Linked DNA regions of Canis lupus familiaris. The protein of the gene in region 5 purifies or fractionates together with the protein of the main gene of each other region. This does not show direct contact. Links are inferred from orthologs where the notes say so. Each region holds a gene or a part of one and is shown on either strand. Other genes may lie near its edges. The genes, in order: POLR2H, POLR3K, CRCP, UXT, POLR3B, POLR1D and POLR3C.

Region 1 (4,790 bases), on a different chromosome or scaffold from region 5:
GAGGGGGGCGCCGGGGGCGGAGGGGGCGGGCCCGCTGGCACGTGGATGGGCCGGGCCCGGCCGGTGGCGCCCAGTGCCTGGGCGGGAGGGGCGGGAGGGGCTGGGGCTCGGGAGGGCCTGGGGCCCGGGGCGGCAAAGCCGTCTAAATCACACCCTTTGGGCTCAATCTCTCAGGAGTGACGCCTTCTCTTGCTTCTGGGGGTGGGGGTGGGGGGGCGGGCAGCGGCTCAGACGGGCCTCGCAAGGCCCCTCTCTGCTCCGTCGAGGGTGAGAAGCAAAGCTGGAGGGACTCGGAGGGGGACGCTAGGCCCAGAAGGCGGGGGTGAGGACGTGATGCTCGGAACTGAGACCCTCCCGTGTCTCTCATCCTCTTCCCTCCTCCTCTTCTCCAGGGTTCCTCTTCTAGGAAGTCACACCTGGAGCAACCTGGCCTGCGGGGTGTACGGGGTGGAGACAGGGAGGAAAGGTGAAGGGGTGAGGCCCGAGGGGAGAGATGTCTAGGTGCTGGCGAGGAGGCTCCTGGAAGGCGGGCGTGGGGGTACAGAGGTCGTTTTTCCCTGGCGGGGCCCAAGGAGAAACTCGAGTAGCTGCTGACGTCTCGCCGCCACCTGGGGATCTGTGTTCTCTCTCAGGGTCTGGAGAAGGATGGAGCAGAGGGTGGGGTGAGCACAGGGTGGATGGACAATGTAGGAGAGAGCGTGTTAGGGGAGAGGCGGGTGCCCAGGACACGGGCAGTGTGCGGGAGGACGCAGTACCAGGATGGAGGGGCCCGCGGGAGGCAGAGGCGGTGCCCAGGAAGGGGCAGTGTGAGAGGAGCGGCACCCAAGAGGAGGGGGGGCTCGTATCCGTGGGAGCGGACGGTGCCAGCCTGAAGGGGCACGTAGATCAGCGTCCAAGGGAGAAGGCGGGGGGGGGGGGGCAGGTAGTACCAAGCTGCAGGGGCAGCGCTGTGTGATGGGGTTAAACGCCAGCCGTCAGCCGGGCTGAAGAGGCGGAGTGGAAGAGAGTGGGGCCCCGGGGAAGAGGGCAGTGGTAGGGGGGTGCTGTACCAGGGGAAGGGACGAGCGCAGGCTTTCCTCTTCCCCATAGTGACATCATGGCAAATTCCCAAACGGGACGGAGCCGGCTCGGGTGACATCCAGCAGGGCCAAGCCGGTCCAGCCCGGTCCAGCCCGGTCCAGCCCGGGCCCGGCTAGGAAGCCTCGGTGCCAGCTGTGGGGACTGGGCTCTGCGCCCCGCAGGGTCAGCGCGCTGGGGGCGGAGTTCCGCCCCGTCCGCCCTCCGCGTGGACTGTGCCCTCGGCGGGCACGCAGACCAGCAGGGGAAGGTTTGCGCCGGGCTTCTCCGGGCCAAGGATCAAGGTCCCGGGCTGGGGTAGGCCCGCCCGCATTCCAGGCGTCCCGACCCGGCCTCTCAAGAGGGCGCAGCCGAGCCTCCGCGTACAGCGAGACGCCGCGCCGCCTCGGCTGGAGGTGGAACTAACCGGGTCCCCGCCCCGGGGCGGAGCCACCCGGCCCCGAGTCCCGCCCCCCACTCCCGAGGCCTCTCGGAAGGCGTCGTTCGGGGCGGAAGTCCGCGAGCCCCGAGGCCCAGGCGGCGGAAGTGGCGGCGGCGCTGCCTGCCCGCGCGCATGCGTGTTTCTAGGGCTCTGCGGCCGCTCTCTGGGCGCGCGCTCTCCTTCTCTCCTTTACTCCACGCGAGGGGGAGCGCGTACCCCTAGGCGTGGTCGCGCTCCCGGCCCCTCTCGTACTCTCGTGGCCACCTCACCATGGCGGGCATCCTGTTTGAGGATATTTTCGATGTGAAAGACATTGACCCGGAGGGCAAGAAGTTTGACCGAGGTAAGGTGGAGGTAGACGTAGGGGCGGCCGAGTCAGGGGGTAACCTCCTCGGGGACACGCCTGTGGGCCCCTGGTCCACCCACGCCGCGTGGCCCGCCCCTGCCGGCAGTTCCTGACTCAGGAATCCCCATCAGGAGACCTTGGATCGATGGGAACTCGGCGTCTCCCGAACTCCGCCTGGCTCCACACAGGCTGGCCCGGTGCCTGGGTGGCCCGTTCTCATGGTGCTGGTGCACCCCCGTGCATCTTCCAGTCGCTCCCCACTCTGCTGGGCGCTGTAGCGTGCACCTTACACACACTTCGTCCTGCCCAGTTCTCTCAGGAGCCTCCATGAAGTAGTTGGTGTCTTACCCATTTTGCCCCGAGAAGTTAAGTAAGCTACCCAAGGCTGCACAGTGACTAGTCCGACTTCAGAGCCTGTATTCTTGTATTGTCCTGAGAATCTCTAGCCCTTTGTGACATCCGCTCTGAATTAGGATTGCTGCTTGCCATACAGCTCTTTATTCTGCCGTTGATCAGACTGGGCCTCCTTGGGGGTCTCTTCTTTTGTCCAGAGACTGAGATGTTCTTCAAGACAAACACCAGGTCTTAACAGTCCTGATAGTCCACTCAGCACAGCAGCTGGCACAGAAAGACAAAACTTTTTTTTTTTTTTTTTTAAGATTTATTTATTTGATAGAGAAAGCAGAGTGAGAGCGTATGAGTGAGGAGGAGGGGCAGGGAGAGAAAGAGAGACAAGCAGACTCCCTGCTTGAACAAGGAGCCGGATGCGGGGCTCCATCCCAGGACCCCGGATCACGACCTGGACTGAAGGCAGATAAACAACTGGGCCACCCAGGCGCCCTGAGACAAAACCTTTGGGGGGATCCCTGGGTGGCTCAGCGGTTGAGCACCTGCCTTTGGCCCAGGGCGTGATCCTGGAGTCCCGAGTCGGGCTCCCTGCAGGGAGCCTGCTTCTCCCTCTGCCTTTGTCTCTGTCTCTCTCTCTGTGTCTCTCATGAATAAATAAATAAAATCTTTATAAAAAAAAAAAAAAGACAAAACCTTTGGATGAATGAATAACTTGTCTAAAGTCAGGTTGTTTGTTAATCACCTAGGCAGGCCTAGAACCTGGATATTATTTATTGCCAGAGGGACCTTTGGTTGTTTTCTGGGATTCTGTCCACTTGCCATAGTTTTCACTCCTTTCCTTCTGGCATATCTGGTTCTCATTGAGTCTGCACTTCTTTGAGAGCAGACGTGAGGCTAGTGGATGCAGATGGGGTTCGAATGAGTGCTCAATTGCATGTAATCCCCCAAAGTGGGGTCTGCAGGGTCTGCAGAGCCTGGCAATTACCTATGCCACTCTTTCTCTACCTCCCTCCAGTGTCTCGGCTACATTGTGAGAGTGAATCTTTCAAAATGGACCTGATCTTAGATGTAAACATTCAGATTTACCCTGTAGACTTGGGTAAGTATTGAACACAGACAATAGCAGAAGGCTTTTTGACATTTCAGCTGTTCTTTAGCCTCTGGTATTGCCATGATTTTCAGGTGACAAGTTCCGGTTGGTCATAGCCAGTACATTATATGAAGATGGTACCCTGGATGACGGTGAATACAACCCCACAGATGATAGGCCTTCCAGGTGAGGAAGTGAAGTACTTCCCTCTCAGGAAAGGAGTACTTGAAATACGCTTGAGGACTAAGTAGATAAGTGGTATAGGAAAAAACCCTTATTTAATTTGTGGAATAAATGATTATCAGTAGTATCTGAGCAACCTTAAGGAAATTGCTGCACTTAAGAATTCAATGGGGATCCCCAGGTGGCTCAGCGGTTTAAGCGCCTGCCTTCGGCCCAGGGCATGATCCTGGAGTCCCTTCGGCCCAGGGCATGATCCTGGAGTCCCGGGATTGAGTCCCGTGTCGGGCTCCCTGCATGGAGCCTGCTTCTCCCTCCGCTTCTCCCTCTGCCTGTGTCTCTGCCTCTTTTTCTCTCTCTCTTTCTCTCTCTCTCTGTGTCTCTCATAAATAAATAAATAAATAAATAAATAAATAAATAAATAAATAAAATCTTAAAAAAAAAAAAAAAGAATTCAAACAACCAGGTAGCCTGGATGACTCATGGCTCAGTGGTTTAGCGCTGCCTTCAGCCCAGGGCTTGGTCCTGGGGACCTGGGATCGAGTCCTGGGTTGGGCTCCCTGCATGGGGCCTGCTTCTCCCTCTGCCTGTGTCTCTGCCTCTCTCTCTCATGAATAAATAAATAAAATCTTAAAAAAAAAAAATTCTAACAACCAGGTGTTTTTCCAGGGCAGCAATTACATGCTTGTGGGTTGTACCTTATCGATGGCTAAGGAGATGACCATCAAGTGACCCAGGCTATGTGAGCCTTGCGTCTTGGGAGAGAGTTTGGTGTGATGGAAGGGCTTTGGAGCTCTACTGAGTTCAAATCTCAGCCCTATCAGTTCTTTGTTGAATGGCTTTAACCTCTTGCAGCCTCAGTTTCCCCATCAGTAAAGTGCAGATGATCACACCTTGCTCATATGGTTGCTGGGAGGACTAAATGGCATTGTGTTTGGAAAACGTCTGTTAGAATGGTGACACTTAGTTACCAGTTAACCATTTTTTTTTTCCAGTTAACCATTTTTAAAGAGCTTCTTACTTTTGTTTACTACTTTGAAGAATAACCTTGCTCCTACTGTTCCACAGGGCTGACCAGTTTGAGTATGTAATGTATGGGAAAGTATACAGAATTGAGGGCGACGAAACTTCTACTGAAGCAGCAACGCGTCTGTAAGTTCCATAGTCTTGTGAGAACCCTTGTCCCCCAGCCCTATTCAGATAATCTGAGCTCTGCTCTGAAAATTTGGGCCATGCTTCATGTTTCCTGGGTTGGGTCTCTCCCCAAGCACCTCAGACCTAGGTAGGACTTAGAAGGAAACTGTCTGTTCTGGAACAGTTTCCAATCC
Region 2 (4,776 bases), on a different chromosome or scaffold from region 5:
GCTCTGAAAGAGCCGTGTGGGGTGGCTGGGGGCCAAACACACCTTCCTAATGAAATAGGCTACAGCACGGAGACAGAGACGACCCATGCTGCAGGAGTGAGGAGACCACCCAGGGGAAGATGGGGTAGGGCCGCTGGCAGCTGCACCGTCTGTAACCAAGGAGACCACTTACGCTGGAAATGCTCCAAGGTGCCCCCATTTAAGAAGCCCAGTTGCCTGGGTGAGGTGATGTAGATGAAAGAGAACTGAGGCAGGACTCCCAGGCACCGTGGCACCCACCGCGCCGGGACGCTCAGGACAGGGAACTCCTCGGTGCTCTGTGGCACACATGCAACAGTGGCTCCACTTACCAGCTGATGTGCTGAATGCCCCCTTCACGCTCCTGCCTGAGCTGCACGTATCTCTGAATGGCCTTCTTCAGGTCCAGGACTGTGGCGTTCTGCACCACAACCACAGCTGCGGGAGAAGAGCCATGTTAGGATCCACAGCCACAGCCTAGGACGGCAGGAAAGGAACCAGAAGCTCTGTCCAGACTGTTTTGGACGGAGGCTCAAATTCAGGTGGGGTAGGCTTGTGGTTGCCCCGATGCCCTTCGACGTACATGGCTCTTGAGTTTCCCCTGAGCAGCCATGGCAGCGTCTTGTCTGCGTGACAGCTTGGACTGCAGGGTCCGCAGGGAGAGGGCGAGCACTTACGCATTATCTCTCCATCCATCTTGCACACGCGGACTGTCATCGCTTGGCCATATTCTAGTGCTATCTGGGAATTGACTTCTTCCAAAGTAACCTGCAGAAAGACCAATGGTGGAGGTGGGAGCCTTGGCTGCCTTTGCTATCCCAAACCACAAGACAAGACAAGCGGATAGCATCGGAAAAGCAGTGCCGTATCTTACGAAAGACGAGAGACAAGATTTCTTACTTCTATGCTAGGGTTTCCCGGTTGCACCTACATTTTAAAAGTGTTTAATGTGCAAAGTGCATTAAAGCTCAGGAAAAGAGGAGCGCTGAAACAGGAGAGGGTGAGCGCCAGATCTGGGCTCTGGGGCTGGGAAGGAGGAGGCGCGGTCAGTCCGGGATCCAGGGCGACACCGGGCGGGGGGGGGAGGGGAGGCCGGTGTGCGAGGGTGACCGGGGCGCCCAACCCAGGAGTGAACGTCCTCGGGCGGGGCGCGAATCTCGATGCGGAGTCCCGGGGTGGAGCCGTTCTCCCCACTTGAGCCTCAACTACGGAAACGACCTTAGAACCTGCACCTGCAGCGCAGCCGCGCCCGGGGCGCCCGGGGCGCCGTCGGGGTCCGCCTTGGGACCGGACGACCGTCCGCCTGTCCCTGTCCCCTGCTGCCCCCGCTCGTGCTCGGGTCAGTGAGGTCCTTAAAGGACACGGGAGAATCGAGGCCCGCCGCATCGTCACCTCTGGCGCCCACAGGGGGAGGTCAGGCACCGAGGTCCCGCCGCGCACCTGGATCGGGAGGTCGCAGAGCAGCGGGTCCTGCACCACCATGGCGAGCCCCTCCTGGAACACGTCCACCGCCTCGGAGTGCGGCAGCGCCTCCTCTTCATCCTCCTCGGCCTCGGGCGCCTCGGGCCGCGCCGCCGCCGCCTCCGCCTCGGCCTCGGCCTCCGCCGGCTCCAGGGCGCCCGCCCAGCCCCGCGCTCCGACCGCGCCGCCGCCGCTTCCGGCCGCGAGGGGCGGGGCTGCCACGGGGACCGATGGGAGGCTCGAGGCGGCCTGCCGCAGGGGCTGCTGGGAGCGCCAACCCGGCCCGGCCATTGGGGCGGCGGCGGCCCGGGCCAATGGGAGCTCGCGACGGGCCCGACGCCGGCGCCCCGCGGCCGCAGGGGCTGCCGGGAGCGCGCGGGGCAGCCATGCTGCTCTTCTGTCCGGGCTGCGGGAACGGGCTGATCGTGGAGGAGGGACAGCGCTGCCACCGCTTCGCCTGCAACACCTGCCCCTACGTGCACAACATCACGCGCAAGGTGATCACCCGCCGCCCCCCGCCCAGCAGCCGACGCCCGCCCCGCCGGGGTGCTCCAGCGGCCCCGCCCCCGCCCCCCGCCGTATCGGGAGCGGCCTGGCCTCACCCGGCTCCCGTGGCGGCGTCCCCGGCGGCGGCCCGGGCGGCCTCGTCGGAGCCGTGGCCGGATCAGGCCCGCCCTGTGCGCTGGCGCGGCTGACTGCGGGTCCGGGCCGACGCCGCCAGCCCCCGGGGAGCAGCCCGCGCCGCGCACCGACACGGCCGCCGGGCCTTTGCACGTGCTCCCGCTGCCCTCCCCGCCCCGCCCGCAGCCTCGCCGTGTTTGGGTCGTGCCGAGCAGCGTGGCTCTGGCGGACTCGGGTCACCTGCGGACACGCCTCTACGGGACTTGCGTGCCTGGGGTCGGTGCTGCGGCCCCAACCCGGGCCCTGGACGGAGCCGCGGCGCACCGCCCGCCCCGAGCTGCCCGCGGGAGTTGGGGCCGCCGCCGCGACGCCCGGGACGGAGCCGGGGGCCTGCGCGGAGGGCCCGGGCCGAGCGTGGACGGGGTGGGGTGGGGGGTCCCGGCTGCATCCGCCTCTTGGGCCGGCCCGACGCTGGAGCCCCTGGACCCGGGCCGAGCCCTGCGCCGCGGGTGTAGAGACGCGGCTGCCCAGGATCGTGCAGCCCGCGGGGAGGAGGGCAGTCGGCGGCCGGGTCAGCACCGCGCCCCTACCCGCGGCCTGAACACCTGCCGCCTTTCGCCAGGTCACCAACCGGAAGTACCCGAAGCTGAAAGAAGTGGACGATGTGCTCGGCGGCGCGGCGGCCTGGGAGAACGTGGACTCCACCGCAGGTGAGAGCTGAGGCCGCGCTGCCTTTGAGGAAGGAAGCTCCTAAAAATAGCGTGTGTATTTTCTTCTTTAGTGATTTATTTCTTACACAGGCAATATTGGCATAAACCCCAGAGACGTACAGGTGTGGGTTAGTCTCAAAGCCACAGCCTCTTAACATCGCATGACCTTGGTGGCCTCCCTCCGTTGTGAGAGCGTGAAGGGAGCCCCGCAGCACTTGGCCTCTAGCGTGGTCCTCAAGTGGCGGCTGTGCGGGGAGCAACCGATGGCAGTAATGAAAGTCGGAGCCTAAGGAAGAGTATATGGTCCATTTGTTCAGTTGTGGATCTTTTTTAAAATTAATTATCTCTAAAAAATATTTTATTTATGTATTCATGAGAGACGCAGAGACAGAGACACAGGCAGAGGGAGAAGCAGGCCCCATACAGGAGCCCGATGTGGGACTCGATCCTGGGACCCCCCGGGGTCACACCCTGAGCAGAAGGCAGATGCTCAACCACTGAGCCACCCAGGGATCCCTGGTGTAGATTTTTATTTTTAATTAATTAATTTATTCATTCATTCGTTTGTTTGTTTGTTTATTTATTTATTTATTTATTTATTTATTTTTCTTCCTGGTGTAGATTTTTAAAAGCTGATGGCAGAGAGCATTCACATGTTTATTTCAAGTCTTGTTTCCTGTCTGATAGAGGTAGATGTGACCAGGGAAGGAAAGAAGAGAGCCCTAAACACATCTGTGTTGAGCGGAGGAAGACCCAACTCCTGTTTAGTATTATCTTTTCTCCCCCATAGAAGAACATCTAAATCTGATATGGTAAAATTAGCATTGGCAGAATTTGCCAGGAAAGAAAAGAAGATGATTTTGGTACCTAATGTTCAAAGTGCTGTTTGTGAGTGTTTGAAGGCATTATCAAGCATAGGGTCAGTTTCCCGAACTGAAGTCACTTTGCCTTGAGGTATTTGGCAAAGGTGTGGGTTGTATGGTGAGGTCTTCATAAGAACGGCCTGAGGAACTGCTGCCGAGATGGATCCCTAAATTTAATGGGAAGTGGATTTGTCATCCCCTGGGGGCTCCTCCAGGAAGTTGAGAGGGCTTAGGTGATGGAGATGCACTTGGAAGAATCTGCCCAGAGTGGACCCCATCATGCACATGGTAGCCATAAGCCACATTTCATGTCACATTTCCAGCTAGTCTTCAACCAGATTTGAGAAGAAAAATGGGACTCAGGGAGGGGAGCAGGAGTGTTTTCCAGGGTCACAAGTCCCCTCAGTGTGAGAGTGTAGTGGGAATGATGCCACTAATTACAGCCTTTCAGTCATGGCGCAAGGTGCCCTAGGCAGGGGATGCCAGATGATTGGGGTCGGGGAGGGATTTGGTGTGTTAATACCTACCTACTTCTAGCAGGTGTGTTTGGTCATGAGCATAATGTGGGTCACTTGTTTTTCTCGTTGCCAGAGTCATGTCCTAAATGCGAACATCCTCGTGCCTATTTCATGCAGCTTCAGACTCGCTCTGCAGACGAGCCGATGACCACCTTCTACAAGTGCTGCAATGCTCAGTGTGGACACCGCTGGAGGGACTAGGGCCAGGATCCAGCTGTGTCATTGTCTGCCTACCTTGTTCCCTAGGGTGGATTCACAGCCAGGAGTGTGAACTGTTTGTCCTGAACTGTCTCTGCTGATGTGGCCAAAAGCTAACCCTTTCACGGGAGCTGGTCAGGGTACCAGCCCATCTGGCAGTCAGCGGATGAGCTCATTTATATCCAGGGGGATTGTGTGTGCAGGGAAGGGTATACATAAGTAAGTGTGTTCTTTTTAATATCCTGTTTGTGGATCTTGTAGGTATATTGGCTAATTGACATCTTTTCACCATTATCCTTCTTAAATATGCACTCTGATTGCACAACTAATAAAGTAAAATGTTATAATGTAGGACATTAGATGTATCTAAGTATTTAACTTAATTGT
Region 3 (3,219 bases), on a different chromosome or scaffold from region 5:
TGCCACACGCAGTGATCAGGATGCAAGAAGGTGGTCTGTTCAAGTCTTCTCTATTTGGTTTTCTAAAAATGAGGCCTCTGAGAAGTCCTATAACTCTAGTCTGCCTCTCTGAGAGAGGAAAGGATAGAGGCATGGTGTTCTAGAAAGAGCTGGAATCCAAAGGCAAAGACCTTTCCCTACTTGCTGTAAGACCCAGATCAGGTTTTCTTTACAATGCTGAGCCTACACTTACTCATCTATAAATTGTCCTGACTTCCACATGCTTGAGAAGCTCTGGTGGCAGTGATTCTGGGAAAGCCCCTGCACAAATACTGGTGGGAAGTTGTCAGTGTTCTAAGACTAGTCTAAATCTCCTTTCCTGCTTCCCCTGAGTCAGGAAGCAGTTCATAATCAACTGCACATGGCAATTTATAAATTTGGAGACATTCCTTTCTCAAATGGAGATCATCTTTTCTTAGGGTTAAATAATCAAATTGGATATACCCCTTTCCAACTCCTTCATATTTTGGAGACAGTCTCTGTTAGATTACTTCCTTTTACACACTGTAATTTTGCATGTCTGGTTTTATTTATTTATTTTTTTAAGATTTTATTTATTTATTAGAGAGAGAGAGAGGCAGAGACATAGGCAGAGGGAGAAGCAGGTTCCTTGCAGGGAGCCCGATGTGGGACTCAATCCCGTGACTCCAGGATCATGCCCTGGGCCAAAGGCAGATGCTCAACCACTGAGCCACCCAGGCGTCCCAGCATGTCTGGTTTTAAAAATGGGTTTTTGAGGATTATTTCTTGTTCAGTAGAGGTTATACTTTATGGAGCTTTTGAATCTTTAGGAAATGGTCGTTTTATTTCACAGCATGATGAGAAGTAGCCCCGTTGGTTCACTCAGGGTCTTCTCCACCCTAGAACACTCAGGATGATTCTCTGGTTGTAGAAACATTTTTGTACCCTAGATGAATGAAGAGACTGATGTTTTCCCAGGAGTTCGTGATGTGATCTTAGACACATCACCTGACTTGATGAGCTTCTGTAAAGGGAGGCGGTCAGACCAAAACCCTCTTCAGGGTTTGAAGTCTAGCCTGTTATCCTGTTTTATTTAAATCTGCTGGGATTTCTTTCTGGAACTCCTCTTGGTTCTAGTCACCAGATCTCAGAGGTTGCTGTGGGAAATACCACAGAACAGAACCCTGGACACCTTTAGCTGTTTATGATAGGTGGCTGGTGCCCCTAAGTGAACATGGGTAAGTAATTTGACTGCCTGTGTATTGCTCTTAAAAACATTGTTGACTATATTTGTATTCATTAATATATTCGAGAACTAGAGGTACAGCTAAGAAAACTGGCTCATAATTGTGGATTATCAGTGTGTAGATTTCCAGGACACATCAAACTGGGCTTTAAGTGGATCTAATTTAGTGAGGCAGCAGGGGATTGTTTCCCAGCCATCACTCTTGCTTCACATTCCTAGGAGGTGATCAAGGCCACATGGTGTGTGTTTGATTGTAGGTGTCAGTGTTGGGCAGGCCCAACTTGAGGTGCTCGTTCTGTCTTTTGCCAGGATTGTTGTGAGGGCTAAAAGAAATAACAGATAGGAAGTGCTATGTGCACTCGGACATGTGAGCTCCCTAAAGAGCTGTTAGTGGCAGTGGGAGTGGGGATGAGAAAAAAAAAAATTTGGCACACAGTGGGCAATTGTCAGATGGGTTGTTGATATAGTTTATAAGTTACAGTTGTGTTTGTTGTGAACTACAAAAGTATATAAAATGCTATTTCACTCCCCAGAAGTGAGTTTTCTTTGCATACAAAGCATATTCAAGTGTGCATGTGGATGGGTATAGAACCATTAAGGTTTTCTATTTCTTTGAAGAAAAATGCTAACCTGCAACTTGCTTTTTGCCCTGGCCCATTTGGAACAGTTGCATAGGAATTGGAGCTGGCTTCTCCCTCCCTCGGAGCCAGGGTGGAGAGAACACAGAGACCTGAGGAGGCTCTGGAGCCAGCGTGCCAGAGGCCAGTGGACTAGAAACAGCATGGGTGGGGAGGGCAGCCTGGACACCGCCTGTTGGCTCATCTGTAACCCTTGGAGGTTTTCTTCTGCAGATGGTTGAAGAGAGTGAAGAACGGCTCACAGAGGAGCAAATCGAAGCCCTCCTCCATACCGTCACGAGCATTCTGCCTGCGGGGCCAGAGGCTGAACAGAAGAAAAACATGAATGACATGACAGTGGATGAAGAGGACCCAGCATAGAAGAGCACAGCCAGCCAGCTGCCTCATGAAGCTGAAAAGCCCAGCAGCCATTTCCCAGACATCCAGAGGATTTTTCATTTGGTTTTACCCTTTATCCCAATGATTTCATGGTTGGTCAGATAAAACACAAAAATAAGCTAAGAAGAAGTACATGTGCCTCTGGGAGATAAAACCTGGTGAAGACAGGCTGTCAGGGCAGAGAGGAGGACAGAGTCAAAGAGGACAATGTGCAACCCTCTGTGGTAAAAATACTTCTGTGGCCTTTGCCATAGTTGTGGGCAGGGCCCTGTGCACAGCTGGTAAAATGCTTGCGTTGCCTTTGATTGGCTATGTCCTAATTAGTTTCATCTGCTTCCCTAGGAGCTTCCCAAGCAGGGGCACTGAGCATTGTTGGGGTGAGAGCTGAGTTAGAAGAATCCAGTTAGATGGCCTGAAACTCCCAGAGCAGCAAAAAGTTGCTCTAGGTTAGAATGAGCCACTGAACTTGGCTCACCTTAGAGGAATCTTTTCCTCCAGCACATCAAAGATAAGAGAAGACTGGCCTGTCCAGCCTTCCTCAGGTCTGAAGGCTCTTTTCCTCTCTTGGCACGGGTATTGTTTCCCAGCTCACTATTTATTCTTCAGTGTTAGGGCACCAGCCCATTCTAGTTGAAAAACCACTGCTGACTGACTGAGTGACAGTGACAAAGAAGTTCAGCGTTGGCTGCCTTACTCACCACCGACAAGAGCCCTGGGTACACACTGCCTCTTGAGGCCAGGTGAGCCTCACTTGCACAGTGGACAGATTGCATCTTTTGAAAGGGCACAGATAGGGACAGAATATGAAGAACTAGAGGTTGACTAATAAGAATTTGAATTTGTTGGCTATTGCAAGGTTGCATCAGTTTTTCAATTTAAAATATTAGGATAGGGGGGATCCCTGGGTGGCTCAGTGGTTTCACGCCTGCCTTTGGCCCAGGGTGCAATCCTGAAGTC
Region 4 (3,691 bases), on a different chromosome or scaffold from region 5:
CTCTCTCTCTCAAATAAATAAATCTTTTAAAAAAATTTTTAAATAGGAAAAGAAACATTGCCTAGGATGGAGCAGTTGCAATTTTAAACAGAATGCTTGATTGGCTGTAAGGTGTGAAAGTTTTGGGCTGAACAACTGGAAGGATGGAGTTGCCATTATCTGAGAGGGAGAAGATAGAGGAGGAGCAGATTTGCAGAGGAGGATCAGGAGTTCAACCTAGGACCAGTTAAGTATGAGGTGCTTATTAAACAGTGAAGTGGAGTTTTTGAAGAAGGAGTTAAAACTCCCAAGGCTGGAGAAGGGTCTGAACTGAAAATATAAATCTGGAAGATACCAATATCTTGGTATTCAAGATATGGGTTCATAGTGCTGTATTTTTTTCCATTTTAACATTCTATGTTGTTACCTTCTACTCTCCTTACCATATCTAATTTGCCTTAAATTGATTTCTGCTTGAACAGATAGCTGAGCACAACAATGTCTGCCTCCCTTAGGACAGTATCAAGACCCTGTGTAAACTAGCCCCTTCCTACCTCTGGGACCTTTTCTTGGACCACTTTCCTTCCACCAGTCACTTAATTCCTAACACCCTGACTTCCTGACTGGTCCTCCAAAAGCTCCTTCCTGCCTTGTGGCCTTTTTGGGGAAAAGACCCTCCTACTGTTTAACTCTTACTCATTCTCATTCCTCAGAAGGGCCTTCCTTAGCCCTTTGTATCAATTAGGATTCTGTTGGCTGAGTCTGATCCCAATCAGCTTAGAAGATAGAAGGAATTGGGGTGCCTGGGTGGCTCAGTTCAGCGACTGCCTTCAGCTCAGGTCATGATCCCAGGTTCCTGGAATTGAGCCCCGCAATTCCAAGGGCTCTGCTCAACTGGGAGCCTGCTTCTCCCTCTCCTTGCTGCTCCCCCTGCTTGTGTTCTCTCTCTCTCTTTCTGTCAAATAAATAAATAAAATCTTTAAAAAAAAAAAGAAGATATAAGGAATTGACCAGTATATGTAACTCAGCAGTCAAGGGCCAGAGTGGTTTGAGGCAACTCCAGCTTTCCAGTTGCTTAGGCCTTGGCATCTTCCTTAAGTCCTCTCTCTCACACCTGACATTCAACCATTTGGTAAATCCTGTTGACTCTACCTTCAAAATATATTACAAATGCAGTCACTAATCATCACCTCAGCTGCTGACACTGCAGTCTAAGTCTCCATCTCTCACCTGGGCTATTACAGTAGCCTTCCCACTGGACTTCCTGCTTCCACACTAGCTCTCCTTATCCTCAGTCCTCCACACAGCAGCCAGATGAATCCTCTTAAACCCTGGTCAGTGGGGCACCTAGGTGGCTCGGTCAGTTAAGCGGTTAAGCGTCCGATTTCAGCTCAAGTCATGATCTCAGCAACCTGGGATTGAGCCCCACATCAGGGGTTATACCCTTAGTAGGGAGTCTGCTTCTCCCTCTCCCTGTAGCCGGACAGGAGCCCTCCCTCTCCTCATGCACACACATGTGCTCTCTCTCTCTCTCTCAAAATATTTTTTAAAGAACCCTTGTCATTTCACATTCCTTTTCTGATCACAAGCCTCCCTTGGCTCCAATCTCACGTAGAGTAAATGTCAAGAGTCCTCACCATGGCCTTGTGAGTTTTACATGATCTGCCTCCCCACCTTATCTCTCTGACCTCACCTCCTACAGTTTCCCCTTCCCTTATTCTTCAGCCATGCCAGCCACTTTGCTGTGCTTCAAACATGCCAGGTACACTCCTACCTCATCATTTTTCCATGTGTTGGGCCTTGTGTCTGGAACATTCATCTTCCATCTATCCTCATGATCATCTTCTTTAACTCTTTATGCAAATGCTTCTCGCACAGCCATTTGTAAGTGCTCTCATTAGAATTGCAGCCCCCCACTCCTGCACTCATCCTCTCTTATCATTTAACTTTTTCATTTTACTTATAACCCTCTGAAATACTCTATATATTATTCCATAATTTGTCCCTCTTAACGAGAACTTGAGCTCCATAAGGCTGAGATTTTTGTCTGTTGTGTTTGCTGTTATCTCCCAGTACCTAAAATTGCCTGGCATAGAGTAGGGATTCAATCAATTTCTTTGAATCAGTGCAGCCCAGATGGTGGCCAGGCATCTCTGCATAGGAGCAGGTCAAGTAGTAACATGTCCTACCACCTGCCATGTGGAAATCATCCAGGACATAGGCAGTTCTTGAAGTGATGAGGAAAAATCATCTTCATGAGCCTAAGTGTGGCCCACTCGGCCCTTTCTTGTTTCTTTTCTCCAGGCTCAGCGACAGCCTCACCAAGGACTCCATGAATATCAAGGCCCATATCCACATGTTGCTAGAGGTGAGAGTACCTCACCCCATTCCCAGACTCTGTCTCCAAATGTATTCAGGGTGGTGTGACCCGACGAAGGGAGAGAGCCAGGGATGGGAAGGACCATTTTCCTCTCTAAGCAGGAACCAGGCTGGCTCTGAGGGAGGGGAGGTCAGAGCAAGCCTGGGCTGAGGCCTAGACAATCTCTGTTCAATCTCTTCTATCCTTTTTTTCAGGGGCTTAGAGAACTACAAGGCCTGCAGAATTTCCCGGAGACACCTCACTATTGACTTCTTCCCGCCTCCGTAGACATTAAAGAGCCTGAATGCCTTTGAGTCACATGGCCCTTCTTTCCCCACCTCAACCCTTTGCTGTTTGCTAAGGTGCCCTGTTTCTAAAGCACAAAGTTACCAGGAACCCCAGAGAGCCAGTCTCTATGTGGAACCTTTAAAGCACCCCTGAAGTCCCGCCTCCAGCCTGTTGCCTGGCAGCATTTGCCACTTGACTTTCTGCACTGCCCTCTTTTCTGTCGCCTTGGAAACCTGGGCCTCCCACCTGACCCTTTTATCTTCCTGGACGTAACTGTCTTAATCATAGAGAATGGGCTGATTCAGGGTGGAGGTTTGTTCCCAAGACAATCAGCCTTTCATTCCTGGCCCTAAAGTTTGCCCCTCTCCCCCACCCTAATCATTACTGGGGTACCTTAGATTACACCCACGCCCGTCTCATTCCAACCTTGGCCTCACCCGGCTTCTAACTAATTTCAGCTTCCACCAATGGGCGCAGAGCCTGATCCCGCCCTACCCCGGCCGGCCCCTATTTTAGGTTGAGTCTAGCTTCCGCCAATCATTGCAGAGCCAGGTTCCGCCCCCTTATAACTGGCTGAGGCTCAACGCTGACCTCCTCGTAGGCTTTAGTTTCCGCCACTCAACGCTCCTTTGCGTGCCTGGCCGCTGTCCAACCCTATCTCTGCTCTGTCCTAAACTCGTCTTTTCTACCCAATCACGATAGAGTTATCCTCCCACCTACGCACAGTCCTGGCCCGACCCCCTCCCAGCCTGCCGCTACGCCCACTTCCATATAAGTCCCGCTTCCGCTGAGCAGCGTGGAGTGCAGCACCGCCCAGTTGGTGTTTTGGCAGCTGTCTGGAGTCCCTAGTCCGCCAATCAGTAGAAAGCAGAGTCCATCCGCCCCTATCCTCGGAGGCCGTCTTCCATGCAGGCCAATTATTATCAGGCAGGCGCCCCCAGAATCTTGTCAATCGCCCACAGGCTGTCAGCCTTGGGCCAATCAGCGTGAAGCGCCAGCGGGGCCCAGCACGCCCCCTCGGAACCCAGGCGGCTATCTGCGTTCCATCAGTTCTCCTCGGGCCAA
Region 5 (4,173 bases):
GCCCTGGGCTGAAGTTGGCGCTAAACCGCTGAGCCACCAGGGCTGCCCTGGCTAGCTGATTTTGTTTTGTTTTGTTTAATTTTTATTTATTTATGATAGGCACGCAGTGAGAGAGAGAGGCAGAGACACAGGCAGAGGGAGAAGCAGGCTCCATGCACCGGGAGCCCGACGTGGGACTCGATCCCGGGTCTCCAGGATCGCGCCCTGGGCCAAAGGCAGGCGCCAAACCGCTGCGCCACCCAGGGTTCCCTCAAGCTTGCTTTAGATTTAAAAAGGTAAACAGGGCGTATGCCAACCCATGCTGAAATTTTACCTTTTGTTGTTGCCAAAGTTATATTGGGAGCTCAATTTAAGTTGTAGATTATTCTTTCAAAGACAATCTACGTGTGAAAAACTTACAAATGATCAAAATGAACACACTGTAGTGGAAACTTCATCACTGAGCACAAGGGCTGTCTTTATCTGCTGACAGAATACCTGGGATAGGAGAGGAGTCCCTCCATCTGTGGCCATTGGACAAGTGAAGGTGGCTAGATCACATGTGGGCAGAAACCAAAACTTGGATTAAATCAATCAAAAAAGTGGGCGGACAAATGCACCCCTGGTAGTCTTCCCACAGAATGCACAGAAGTAATAACTCTGTACACAACAAAGTACAAAATAGAAAATAACTGTTTGACACTCATTCCTCTGGAATAGTTTTTGGATGTTCTAACTGAAACGGAAGCTCCAGAGGGACAGCGCTCAAGGGACAGGAACACCTAAACCAAGTTGGGTCTCACTGCTGGGTCACTAGGGTCTTGAGAATCTTGACTTCACTTCCCTCTTCTGCAATTTGGACCACACACAGCATTTCAACAGGTATGTGCATTTACTCAGTTTTAAATGGTCATGGAACTGAGTCATCCATACCTCTCCCTTGGTTTAAAAAAGTAAAGTCAGACACTGACTGCTTCGCCCTGAATCCCTTGCCCTATATGGAACATCGAGCCATGATGAGTGCAAGCAGGCAGGGACCTGGGCAGTTATGGAGCATCCCCCATGGATTGGCACCATATACATTCCGTATCTGAACATCTGACTGTTCCCCACACGCTGTGAAGTGGGCATTACTGTCACCTCTTGACGTATGAGAAAAACTGAAGCTGTGAGAAGCTAAGTGATCTGTCCAAGACTTGTGGTAAAGTTACGAGGCAGAGGTGAGTTCACATCCATGTCTATCTGGCCTCAAGGCCTATGCTCCCTCTCCTGGGAGCAGTTCCTCAGCCTTGGCACGAACCTCATACTGAGCTGGGTCATTTCCTGTGGTGCAGGCTGCCCTGGGCACTGTAGGATCTTCAGCAGCTTTCCTGGCCTCCACCTACCAGGTGCCAGTAGCTCCCTCCCCACACCTCTAGCTGTGACATCCCAAGATGTCAAATGTCCCCTGGGAGGCCAAAGTGCTTGTGGTGGAGAACCAATGCCCTGAAATATGCTTTTCTAGCCAGAAAATGTAGTACCCAGAACACACGAAACTTAGCATTTGTGATTCCCTTCCCAACATTTATACCCAACCATTCATTAACATACAACACTGTGCTTAGAGTGGAGAATACACTGGTGAATGGGGCACACTGGACCCCAGTGCAGGATCTTCTGCTCCAGTAACAGAAGTTTTAATAAATGACAGCTGTGGCTTGGGCTCCCAAACACTGTATGTTTGTGTTTTCTGTGTATACGAGGGAGCATGCAGGTGTATCCATGTGTGTAATGCGGTGGGTCTGTAAGTGTGTCCACATTCTCATATATGAACCTCTTTGAATAAGATGGTCTATGCAGACAGGTACAGTCAAGGACTATATTCAGCGACTACTGACAGGACCAGTGAGGGGTTTGCTCTCAAGCCTCTGGAATGATTCTGAATCAGCCGCTATTGTTTCATGCTAAGCAGACACACAGCATTCCTGTTGATGTCTAACACTCCAAATTTTGACATTTCTAGGAAACCAAAACTTCGCTGAGTCTGCTTATTGCTGCATCTAGGAAATGCAAGATAGACTTGGCTGCATTATAAATTCTGTAACTGCCCTTCTCTTACCTGGTGAGAACAGCTCGTGGCCCCCGGGCTCGGGCATGCATCTTATCCAACACCATGTGCTTCAGTTTCTGATAGTACACCGGGCCAAAATAGATGTATGCTTCTAAGGGCTCGCTGAAAGAAATGTCAGAGTTTTGGGCTAAGAAATCAGGTTTGGGTTAAGAAGAGGTAGCCTTTTCCAGGACCCCTTACTGGCAGGGCCTGGTTTGTTCCAGAACGGGTTCATGAGTGACTGGGAGGGTGATTTTCAGTCTGCATGGAATGAGAAGGCTATATCTGAAAATAGAAACACACCATAGATATATCAGAAGACCTACTGTTTCATTAATAAATGAAAACTCAAAAGGTTGTGAATAAGTACGTACAGGATGGTCCTTCCTTCACCCCTACCCCCCACCCAGGTCCGGCCACCAGGCTTTCTTGCCTGGACCCCCACAGACAGCCCTCTGGCTGCTCTCCCTGCCTCCGTTCCTGTCCCTCAACAATCTGTTTTTCACAAAACAAACCAGAGTGACTCCTAAAATGTAAATCACAGCAAGTTATTCTTCTGCTCTAAATTCCATATGGTTTCCTACCACTCAGAATCCGTATCATCCAAATTTTCTATCACACCATAAGGTTTAATATAATCTGCTTCTTGCCCCTCTCAGACTCACATCCTATTCCCTTTCCCCATTGTTCATTCTGCTCCAGTAATACCAGCCTCTTCATTGCTCTTCAAACATAGCAAGCCTGTCTGCCTCAGGGCCTTTGCACTTACTATTTGTAAAACATTCTTCTACCAGGTATTCACATGGCTGTGAAACATTTCACCCCCAGAGACTTCCTGTTCCCTTATCACCTTATGTAAAGGAGTGCTCCTCCCACCCCACCATCAGTGTGCCCCCACATTGTCTCAACTCTTACCTTGGTTTTACCTTCAGAGCACTTGTCACCACTTGATATTATAACATACATTTATTATTTCCCCGATTATTATAGGTCTTCCCCATCACAGATGAGGAACGCCTCAGGATCAGCACTTTGTCTCCTTGGTCACTACGGCTCTAGCAGCAGTGACCCTGCCTGGCACAGAATTGGTGCTCAGTAAATGTCTGTTAGAACGCAGCTGACTCAATGAATCCTTAGAAAAACTGTAATAAGGGTTATAAAAGACGGTGACTATTTCAGTGCTCTGACAGAAGAAACCTTTCTCCTTTAGTCTGGAGCAACAGCAGGGGTGGGGGGGAGGTTGGTGCCTCTAAGAAAGTTTAACTGCCCCACAACCTCCTCAAAAGAAGGGGAGAAGTTACCATGTGCCACCTGCTCCATATAGCATCAGGGGAGGGAGCCACTGTCCTTCCTATCTTGAGGATGAAGGCACAGGCACAGAGAGTCTGAGGGGTTAATGAGAGCTGGTGAGCAGGGCAGCATGTCTAGGGCTCTCCCAGCCGCGCTGGCCCAGCTCAAACACTGTATGTGCACGTGTGGGCCATGGCACCAAGAAGGAGCGGAAACAGCAAAGGCCACGAGCACCATGCGGAGGCCCCTGCGCCCCTGCCTTACCTCCTAGCACCCTCAGCACCACCAGCACCAGTATCTTGGCCTCCAAGCCGCTGTGCCAGTAAGGGATGGCCAAATTCATGGGGACACAGAAGGGACTGCAGGGCACAAAAGACGGAGTGTCGGGAGACATGACCCCTGTCCCAGCTCTGTCATGCAGTCCTTATGTGACCTCCTTATCCCAAGTTTCCTAGTTGTACAAGGGGGTCAGAGCAAGGTCCTTTCCATCTCTGATCATCAATGATTCCAGTCCTCCTCGGTGTGGCTGCTCCTGGTAGACTCACCTAATGCCATCCATCACCCACTGAAGAGAGGCGTGTGCAATTTTCCCTTCTAGTTATGCTCAAGAATTTGGCAAGGGGTGAAGCTGGTGGGTGAATGTGTTTGCAAGCCCTTTGGGAAAACTTTCAACTCACAAGCTACACTACTATTTCTCAAACTTTGCCCCTGAGACAACTGGCAGACATGAAATACTAGCTAGGGCACAGAGGAAGGTGGTGTAGACAGAGCCTAAAGTTATCTATGGGAAGCAGAGCATAACCCATCCAAATTTT
Region 6 (4,173 bases), on a different chromosome or scaffold from region 5:
GCTGAGCTTCCATTTCTCTGCTTGTCTTAGAGTTTCACTTCGTGGCTCTGGAGGTTCTCGTGGCTTAGCACACTATTAGGAATGGTTCTACGTGGAGGCAGAATGACATTTGTAGTGTTAAATCCTATTACTGTATATATGTAAATATGTAGGCTTATAGAGAGCATACAAGAAGTTCAATGCTTATTCAATAATCATTTTATTATTTTATAGGGAAATTTTAAAACATTTGAAACTTAGGTTTTCAATTTTTTATGTTTAAGGTAATTAACCTTTTGGCAAATATATTAAAATTTTATCCATACTAAATGCAATCACATATTGTTTTTTAATACTTTAGATTATTAGAACACAATTTATGAGGGTGCCTGGGTGGCTCAGTTGGTTGAGCATCTGCCTTCAGCTCAGGGCCCTAGGATATGATCTTGGGGTCCTAGGAGAGATCCCCATGTCAGGCTCCCCACTCAACGGGGATTCTACTTCTCCCTATGCCCCTCTCCTCAGCTCCTCCTCTCATGCTCTCTCTCCCTCTCAAACAAATAAATTCTTTTAAAAATACATAACTTATGTAAAAATCTTTATTTTAAAAGTATAATGATTTTGCTGAAATCAGGGCAAGAAAATAAATTTTATGGAATAAATACATATGAATGTTTGTCTTTCTGTATCTTTCTGTATTCATCAATATTACCAACTCATAAACAGTTCTCACTGTGTGCAGTAAGTTAATACCGTCACCTCTGGTATTTTGCTGACTTCCAGTCATTTTAAAAAACAGCTTTACACATGTTTTTTATTTTTATTGTAATGAAGGTATATTTATCATGGTAGGAGGAATGAATTTTTTATTTAATAGTTTTTAGCTTATTTTAATACTTGTAAATATTAAGAAATATGGTCTGTGGGACTTTATTTGTCCTTTGGTGGGCCTAAGAGAAAAGAGTGGTAGTAACATCTACTAATATGGAGCAAACAGGAAATCAGGAAAGTCCTGCAGAGAAGGTAACACGTGATCTGGATGTCTGGTGACAAGTATGTGGCTGGACTGCAGAGCAGTTTAGACAGAGAATGTGGCCTCCACCGTGCATGTAATGGCAGATAGAATGCTGGGGACACCTAGCCCAACTGGGCTCCTGGACTTGCAAAAAGCTAAGACCCAAGAATGTGGTAATCCCACGGGGCACATATTGTCTGGTGAGGTCTTGCAGACATAGGCCAGTAAGCCACCGCCGCAGTCTCCATTAGTATGCTCAGACTCCTAACGCTGAGTACTTTTATTTCAGAGTGCACTTAGCATCTCTACTAAGAGATGGAGTTTAGAGAATGTGAAAGGAGCAGAGTGAAGTGGGCTTTACTCATTCGCATAATGACTCAAAAGAATGATACCAGAAGCCGAACAAAGGTCATTTATCTCTGGTAGTCCACAAAGAGAAAAGTGTTTTCTAGATATGAAAGCTTGCTGAGATTTTCAAGCAGCCCTAGAGGATGAAAGACCTCCATCCAGACTGGCCAGATTCCAGCTGTCCCTCATTCTTAGCACTGACTTGGCGTCTTCAGTCCGCGTCTAGGCTTTCCCTTTATGGCCTGATACTTGATGCTACCGGGGCTGCGGTGCCAGGGCACTGCTGTTCCTGTCTGGCCACCACAGAAGATGGCCCAAGTTGCCCAGGGCCATTGGCTTATTTCATCGCATTTCTTTGCCCTGTGACACACGATCTCACTGTTGTGTCTTCACCATCCTTGTCTTGTGTTTTCCATCTCTCCCAGCATCTCCTCCTCCAGCTACAGATACAGCAGTTTTACTTGTAAATCTGTGCATCGTTGTCCTGTCCTACTCACACCCAGAATCCATTCATTGACCAGATCTCAACTGAGGACCTACCATGTGCCAGACGTAGGGAAAACTAGGGTGAAGAGGACCAGTCTACTGAGCTCTAGGTCAGATATATTGAGGCTCCCTCTCTACGTTCCCCTAAGTAATCCAATATTTCTTTTTCTTTCTTTCTTCTTCTTCTTTTTTTTTTTAGATTTATTTTTTTAGTGGAGAGATGGAGCCAGAGAGCACAAGCAAGGGGAATGAATGGCAGAGGGAGAGGGAGAAGTGGGGCCCCTGACCTGAGCCTAAGGCAGACGCTTAACTGACTGAGCCACCCAGGCACCCTCAATATTTATTTCTAATATATACATACAGGTCTTTATTTGATATACAGGGCCTACTATAAGCCTCTCCAGGGAAAGGCCTTGCTCACCATATAAATCATCATGCAGAGCATGTAAGAGAGATTGGCCAAATTTAACATCATCTTGAGAATTAACTTCTTGTGCTTTCATCTTTTATCTATAAATAATTATTTTCATATCCCAAATGATCTCAATGTCACTCTTGAGTTTTACCTTTAAAAACCTTTCCCACAATTTGAATTTTCTTACCTTTCTGTATAGCTGATAGGCGAACCCAGACAATTTGATGTTTTCTGAAATACAGATGGCCTAAATTTCTTCATCTGTGTCTATGATCAAATTACTGAATAATACAGAACCCATACTTTGTCATATGGTTTCTCCCAATCCACATGGTCACTCCACTGCTAATTACTGCTGAGTGGTTATGAGCCTGTAGGCAGATGTCCAGCAGTGATCTGAGTCATCTGTCCCTGGTTTTTTTTTTTTTAATCAGAATGTTCTGTGGTCTGACATCAAATCCTTACTTAAGATCAAGTAAATTGTTCCATTTTTTTTTCTTCAAAACATCACTCCATGGAAAGACATTGAGTTTTTTTAAAATTTTGCCCAGTGCCCTGCTGTATGTGGATGGCTCGGGGATGAACTGGTGGCCTGCAGCATGGATGATGATACGCTGGGTCTGGCAGGGGCCTCCTGGTCAGCAGCAGCCTGTCATTGCACTCCTTTGTGCCCAATTTCCAAGTCAGTGCTTGTCACCAAGTTATACTTGTTTAAACACAAGACCCTCAGCCTGTCTTCCATGACTTAATTGCCATATTTGAACCGCTTTTCCCATCCATGATGTGACAGATACTGTACATTTAGTTGGTCAAAGGTAACTTTTTTTTAGTAATTTTTTTTAAAGATTTTATTTATTTATTCATGACAGACACAGAGAGAAGGCAGAGACATAGGCAGAGGGAGAAGCAGGCTCCTCACAGGGAGCCCGATGTGGGAACTGATCCCAAAACTGCGGGATCATGCCCTGAGCCAAAGGCTGATGCTCAGCCGCTGAGCCACCCAGGTGTCCCATCTTTTCTTTCTTCTTCCTTTCTTCCTTCTTCCTTCCTTCCTTCCTTCCTTCCTTCCTTCCTTCAAGAAGGAAGGCCTGGACGGTATTTCAGGGAGTGGGGATGGGGAGGGCGTGCTTCGGTAGGGATTTAGGGTGGCTTTATTTAGGTTCTTTCTTCTTTTTTGTTTCGTTCTTTGTGGTGTTCTTTTTCTTTCTTGCTTCTTTCTTTCTTTCTTTCTTTCACTATAATTATACATATAGAAAAGTGCACAAATCCTAAGCATGCAGCCTGATAAGTAGTCAAGTGAATGTACCTATGAAACCAGCACTTCAATCACAAAACGGAACATTAGCACCACAGCAGCTGCCTTGTACTAATTCATCAGACTCTGTCTTTTTTCCCCTCTGTGTCTTTTTTGTACAACTATTTGACGTGTAGCTTTTCTGATTTGATTCTTTGAAAGATCTCATTTTCTCATGTTCTCCATTATTTAATTTGCCAATTCTCAATTTGTGGTTTGATTTCAGGTACATTGGTTTTCATGCTACCCTTTCTGTATACTGATGGAGCCAGTTAGCTCTCGGTTGATTTCTGTGAGTAAAAAGAAACATAAGACCCAGATGACTCCAAACTAATTTGCTTGACTCTGGAATTTAAGATGATTTTGACCAGATTTGCATTCCCACTTGGGTTCTATTTCAGCTGCTATTATCATCCGTTAACATTCCTTCAGCATGTACCAGCTGGCTTATGGAATGAACAGGCAGGCCTCAGGGAGCCCGGAGAGGATGGAAAAATGGGTGGAGACGATCCTACACATGTGAATCCTTGAAAACTGATGTTAGTGGGTTCCTGTGCCCAGAAAACAGTCTGCATAGTGAGCTGGCTTTCTTGGACTTCTTGTTTGCACTCAACTGTATATTCTAATATAATAAAT
Region 7 (4,173 bases), on a different chromosome or scaffold from region 5:
AAGAGTTTTTATTGTTTGAGGTGGGACAGGGATTCTCTTCAAGTGTTAGGTACTGAAATATTGGTCTCTGGGGATCCATCCTTAAAAAACCTAAACCATTCTCCTAGCCAAAGTACAGCTATTCCCAGTTGTTCTAAGAATCCACTATCTGGAATCTGAGAACCTTTGTTGGTACTCAGAACATCATTTGGCTTCTTGTATTGCTTTTGTTCAGTATACTAGTTTTATGTATCTTAAATTTGTTTTTAGTATATCTGTTTCTTAAAATATAAATATTTAATGTACCAAATACATTTTATTTATATTCTATTTCATAATTATATTTATCCATATTATAGTTATATTTTCAGTTCATATTATTTTTAAAATTTTAAACTTATAACAAAAATTTCAGGTTTTTTTTCTTTCAATACAGTAATTATGTGACTTCTATTCAAACAATAGAAATGTATAATTTTTTCAAGTTGTAGCCCCCTATATTTTTAGAAATGGCGTTCAAGTTCTATATCTTATTGTGGGTGGTAGTTACAGGGATATACATAATTGTCAACACTCATCAAACTGAACCTCTAAAATCTGGGCTTGTTATTATATGTAACATACCTCAGTTTAAATATATATATATATAGTTAGGACACCTGGGTGGCTCAGCAGTTAAGCATCTGCCTTCTGCTCAGGGAGTGATCCTGGAGTCCCGGGATCGAGTCCCACATCGGGCTCCCTACATGGAGCCTGCTTCTCCCTCTGCCTGTGTCTCTGCCTCTCTATCTCTCTGTGTCTCTCATGAATAAATAAATAAAATCTTAAAAAAAAAAGTTTAATAAATAAATATGTATATAGTTTCATGTGATCCCAGCCACAGGGATTCTTGTTAATAGTTTGATACCTAACTTTATTCAGACCTTTTTTTTATGTATAGTCTCACATTTAAATAGATATATGTATTTTTTTCAGCAAAAAAAAAAAAAAGAATTCTACATACTGTTCTAAAGTTGTTTTTGTGTGTGTGTGTGTGTGTGTTTTTTTTTTGTTTTTTAAGAGAGAGATTTTATTTATTTATTCATGAGAGAGGGCTTCCCATGGGCTTCCCACTGGGAGCCCAGTGCAGGACTTGCTCTCAGAACCCTGGGATCATGACCTGAGCTGAAGGCAGATGCTCAACCACTGAGCCACCCAGGCACCCCTAAAATTGCCTTTTTCATACAACAGTGTATCTAAGCCACCTTTTTCATGTCAGCATATATAGATCTTATTTTTTATGACAGCATCATGTTCCACTTAGTAGCCATGTTGTACTTTATTTTAATCAATTCCTTATTATTGTACATTTGGATTGTTTCTAGTTTTTTTACTCTTACAAACAATGCTACTATGTATTTATGTATTAAACATCTATATTTCAACAAAGTCAGCAATTCTAAGTTCCCAAGCCCATTTTTACCTTCTCTTTTTGCTCCATAGATCTTCAGATCTCTGCCTGTTGGCTATAACATCTCTAAACAAGTTCTTGATCAGTATCTCACTCTACTGGCAGATGATCCAGTAAGTGTTTTGCTTCCTTTTTGGGGTTTTGTTTTTTTTGTTTTGTTTTGTATTCCTTTTTTTCCTGCTGTGTTTACAATTTATTTCTGCCACTGAAACCTGGTATCCTTCTGTAGCCTCATTTTCTACCTAGCCCAGCTCAGACAGTTTCTCTACCATCAGCTGATAGGAAGGCTATCTGCTACAGACTTTTGGCCATATTTGCTCCTTTGGAAACAGAATCACTGGACTTGCCATCCAGTTAACTCTCTCTCTTTCTCTCTCTCTGTGTTTTTTCCAATAGCTAGAGTTTGTTGGAAAGTCTGGCGACAGTGGTGGAGGAATGTATGTCATCAGTATCCTTACCAGTTATTTCCTTATAGTCAGGCAGCCTGAACTAAGAAGAAGAATGGTGACTTATGAAATAAAAGATTGGATAATATTTAGTATACTAAGTAAGTCAGAAAATTGAACTCATACATTGATGATAAAGAAGTAAAAAGGACTTTGAATTAACCGAATTTTAGTTAAGCAAAACCCTGTTTTAGGAATAAAACTAAGATCACAGTGACCAAACCAAAACATTACTGACCATAACCCTCTACATGAAGACCTGCATAAAGCTCTAGGATCCCTAGCCACAGCCACTCTGGAGTCTGTCGTGCAGGAGAGGTAAGAGTGTCACCCTGCTCAGGGTTGGGGCCATTTTTCCACACTTCATTTGGATAAGCAATTTAATCATTATGTAAGCACCCCATGTAGATACATCTTGGTGCATCTTGCCCGTTTTTCCACTGGACTGCTACAGATCCCATCCACTACTGCTCTACTACTTAACTCCCAATGGTGCCAATTAACCAGCCTTCCTAAAGCCTTTACTTATAAATGCAGGAACTCGGGTACTCAAATGAGTCAGCAGTTGGTGACTCTTTTATGATTAGCAGTACCATCATTAATCTGTGGAGTTGTGAAAGAAATCTCTGACCACTGTTCTTCTCTCTGGTCCTGGCTCCATACATGGAAACAGAGCAACTGCCATCTGTGACTAGGAGCTAAAACTAATCTATGTCATGCCATTTGCTTTCTTTATTCCTTTCCAGGTTTGGGTCTCGTTGTGCCAGAATATTCCGTCTAGTTTTGCAAAAGAAACACCTGGAGCAGAAGCAGGTAGAAGACTTTGCAATGATTCCAGCAAAGGAGGCAAAGGATATGCTTTATAAGATGCTCTCAGGAAATTTCATATCACTCCAGGTAACCAGTAGCATAACAATCACCAACCAGTGGAGCTGGTCAAGGGTGAAAGAAACTTCTGAGGCAAACCTCCTGAACCTCAAACAAACTCTCACTTCAGCTCTAAGACAGAAAAAAAGATTAACAGAGACCTAGCAAGCACTTGAAGAGAATAGGGAAGCCTTTTTTTTTTTTTTTTTAATTTTTATTTATTTATGATAGTCACAGAGAGAGAGAGAGAGAGAGGCAGAGACATAGGCAGAGGGGGAGAAGCAGGCTCCATGCACCGGAAGCCCGATGTGGGATTCGATCCCAGGTCTCCAGGATCGCGCCCTGGGCCAAAGGCAGGCGCCAAACCGCTGCGCCACCCAGGGATCCCCCTAGAATAGGGAAGCTTTAAGTGGCCTTAGTTAAATAGAGGCACCTCAAGAAATCACCCCAGAATTCCCTTTTTCCTTAGCTCCTACTCCTTGTGATTTGTCCTTTCCCCAGGTGTTAAATCTATTATATAGATTAAATCTGCCAACATCATCTATTGGGTCCGCAAAGCCAGGTAGTATGCCCTATGAGGAAATAGACAGAATGGATTTGGGAGACAGAATCACAGTTCTGCTGCTGACCCAGTTACACTGAGCAAATTATCTACCGTCATTTTTTCTTATCAATACAATGGTGATGGGTGGTGGTAATAAAAATAATAGTTTGTCCTAAAGATCAAATACAATCTACATGGCACATAAGAGTTGCTCAGTAAGAGCAGCCTGGGTGGCTCAGCGGTTTAGCGCTTCCTTCGGCCCAGGGCATGATCCTGGAGACCCAGGATTGAGTCCCATGTCGGGCTTCAAAGCATGGAGCCTGCTTCTCCCCCTGCCTGTGTCTCTGCCTCTCTCTCTCTCTCTCTCTCTCTCTCTCTCTCTCTCTGTGTGTGTGTGTGTATGTGTGTGTGTGTGTGTGTGTGTGTGTGTGTGTTTCTCATGAATAAACAAATAAAATCTTAAAAAAAAAAAAAAAGGTTGCTCAGTAAATGTTAATTGCCTTCTCCTTCCTCCCCACTGAGGATGCTGACAGTCAAGTAGAAAAAGCTCTGCATGTGGCTGATTTTGCTATAAACACAGATGCTGAATGACTGGGGAAGAGGAAAGGTTGAGTTGCTCTGGATGGAACAAGTGTTTACCTTGCCATTTTTTGAAGAACAGTGTGATTTCTCTTTTTCTTTCTGTGGACAAATAGGAAATTCCCAAAACCCCAGACCATGCCCCATCCAGGACCTTCTATTTATATACTGTGAACATCCTATCAGCTGCCCGAATGTTGCTGCACAGGTGCTACAAGGTAATTTCTTTGGACCTTCTCCCCATTTCCTCCACACAGAAGAGTCTAACTCTAATGCCCCAGTTAGCCGGTACAAGAGCTACTTAAATA

Evidence for each region.
Region 1: the proteins of POLR3B (region 5) and POLR2H purify together in Homo sapiens (affinity purification with mass spectrometry; 5 studies listed by BioGRID and IntAct, with this or other methods). This does not show direct contact. The link is inferred for Canis lupus familiaris from reciprocal best matches to the Homo sapiens genes POLR3B and POLR2H.
Region 2: the proteins of POLR3B (region 5) and POLR3K purify together in Homo sapiens (affinity purification with mass spectrometry; 6 studies listed by BioGRID and IntAct, with this or other methods). This does not show direct contact. The link is inferred for Canis lupus familiaris from reciprocal best matches to the Homo sapiens genes POLR3B and POLR3K.
Region 3: the proteins of POLR3B (region 5) and CRCP purify together in Homo sapiens (affinity purification with mass spectrometry; 5 studies listed by BioGRID and IntAct, with this or other methods). This does not show direct contact. The link is inferred for Canis lupus familiaris from reciprocal best matches to the Homo sapiens genes POLR3B and CRCP.
Region 4: the proteins of POLR3B (region 5) and UXT purify together in Homo sapiens (affinity purification with mass spectrometry; 3 studies listed by BioGRID and IntAct, counting the BioPlex papers as one, with this or other methods). This does not show direct contact. The link is inferred for Canis lupus familiaris from reciprocal best matches to the Homo sapiens genes POLR3B and UXT.
Region 6: the proteins of POLR3B (region 5) and POLR1D purify together in Homo sapiens (affinity purification with mass spectrometry; 6 studies listed by BioGRID and IntAct, with this or other methods). This does not show direct contact. The link is inferred for Canis lupus familiaris from reciprocal best matches to the Homo sapiens genes POLR3B and POLR1D.
Region 7: the proteins of POLR3B (region 5) and POLR3C fractionate together in Homo sapiens (co-fractionation; 4 studies listed by BioGRID and IntAct, with this or other methods). This does not show direct contact. The link is inferred for Canis lupus familiaris from reciprocal best matches to the Homo sapiens genes POLR3B and POLR3C.

The regions. Positions count from the first base shown.
Region 1 is NC_049255.1:17,408,404-17,413,193, forward strand, and holds the start of POLR2H (DNA-directed RNA polymerases I, II, and III subunit RPABC3), read left to right. Parts: upstream 1-1,606; 5' UTR 1,607-1,768; coding exon 1,769-1,841; intron 1,842-3,207; coding exon 3,208-3,291; intron 3,292-3,374; coding exon 3,375-3,468; intron 3,469-4,530; coding exon 4,531-4,614; intron 4,615-4,790. UniProt on the Homo sapiens protein: DNA-dependent RNA polymerase catalyzes the transcription of DNA into RNA using the four ribonucleoside triphosphates as substrates.
Region 2 is NC_049227.1:40,885,897-40,890,672, forward strand, and holds the start of POLR3K (DNA-directed RNA polymerase III subunit RPC10), read left to right. Parts: upstream 1-1,816; 5' UTR 1,817-1,865; coding exon 1,866-1,976; intron 1,977-2,722; coding exon 2,723-2,810; intron 2,811-4,264; coding exon 4,265-4,392; 3' UTR 4,393-4,776. Other genes in the region: SNRNP25 (U11/U12 small nuclear ribonucleoprotein 25 kDa protein), read right to left, coding at 351-456, 696-786, 1,459-1,500. UniProt on the Homo sapiens protein: Core component of RNA polymerase III (Pol III) which synthesizes small non-coding RNAs using the four ribonucleoside triphosphates as substrates. Can mediate Pol I proofreading of the nascent RNA transcript.
Region 3 is NC_049227.1:753,665-756,883, forward strand, and holds the end of CRCP (DNA-directed RNA polymerase III subunit RPC9), read left to right. Parts: intron 1-2,097; coding exon 2,098-2,244; 3' UTR 2,245-2,391; downstream 2,392-3,219. UniProt on the Homo sapiens protein: DNA-dependent RNA polymerase catalyzes the transcription of DNA into RNA using the four ribonucleoside triphosphates as substrates.
Region 4 is NC_049260.1:41,473,199-41,476,889, reverse strand, and holds the end of UXT (protein UXT), read left to right. Parts: intron 1-2,283; coding exon 2,284-2,347; intron 2,348-2,553; coding exon 2,554-2,607; 3' UTR 2,608-2,652; downstream 2,653-3,691. UniProt on the Homo sapiens protein: Involved in gene transcription regulation. Acts in concert with the corepressor URI1 to regulate androgen receptor AR-mediated transcription. Together with URI1, associates with chromatin to the NKX3-1 promoter region.
Region 5 is NC_049231.1:33,261,605-33,265,777, forward strand, and holds part of POLR3B (DNA-directed RNA polymerase III subunit RPC2), read right to left. Parts: intron 2,192-4,173; coding exon 2,078-2,191; intron 1-2,077. UniProt on the Homo sapiens protein: Catalytic core component of RNA polymerase III (Pol III), a DNA-dependent RNA polymerase which synthesizes small non-coding RNAs using the four ribonucleoside triphosphates as substrates.
Region 6 is NC_049246.1:12,034,985-12,039,157, reverse strand, and holds part of POLR1D (protein POLR1D), read left to right. Parts: intron 1-1,767; coding exon 1,768-1,938; intron 1,939-4,173.
Region 7 is NC_049238.1:59,297,631-59,301,803, forward strand, and holds part of POLR3C (DNA-directed RNA polymerase III subunit RPC3), read left to right. Parts: intron 1-1,461; coding exon 1,462-1,542; intron 1,543-1,825; coding exon 1,826-1,877; intron 1,878-2,132; coding exon 2,133-2,193; intron 2,194-2,621; coding exon 2,622-2,772; intron 2,773-3,981; coding exon 3,982-4,083; intron 4,084-4,173. UniProt on the Homo sapiens protein: DNA-dependent RNA polymerase catalyzes the transcription of DNA into RNA using the four ribonucleoside triphosphates as substrates.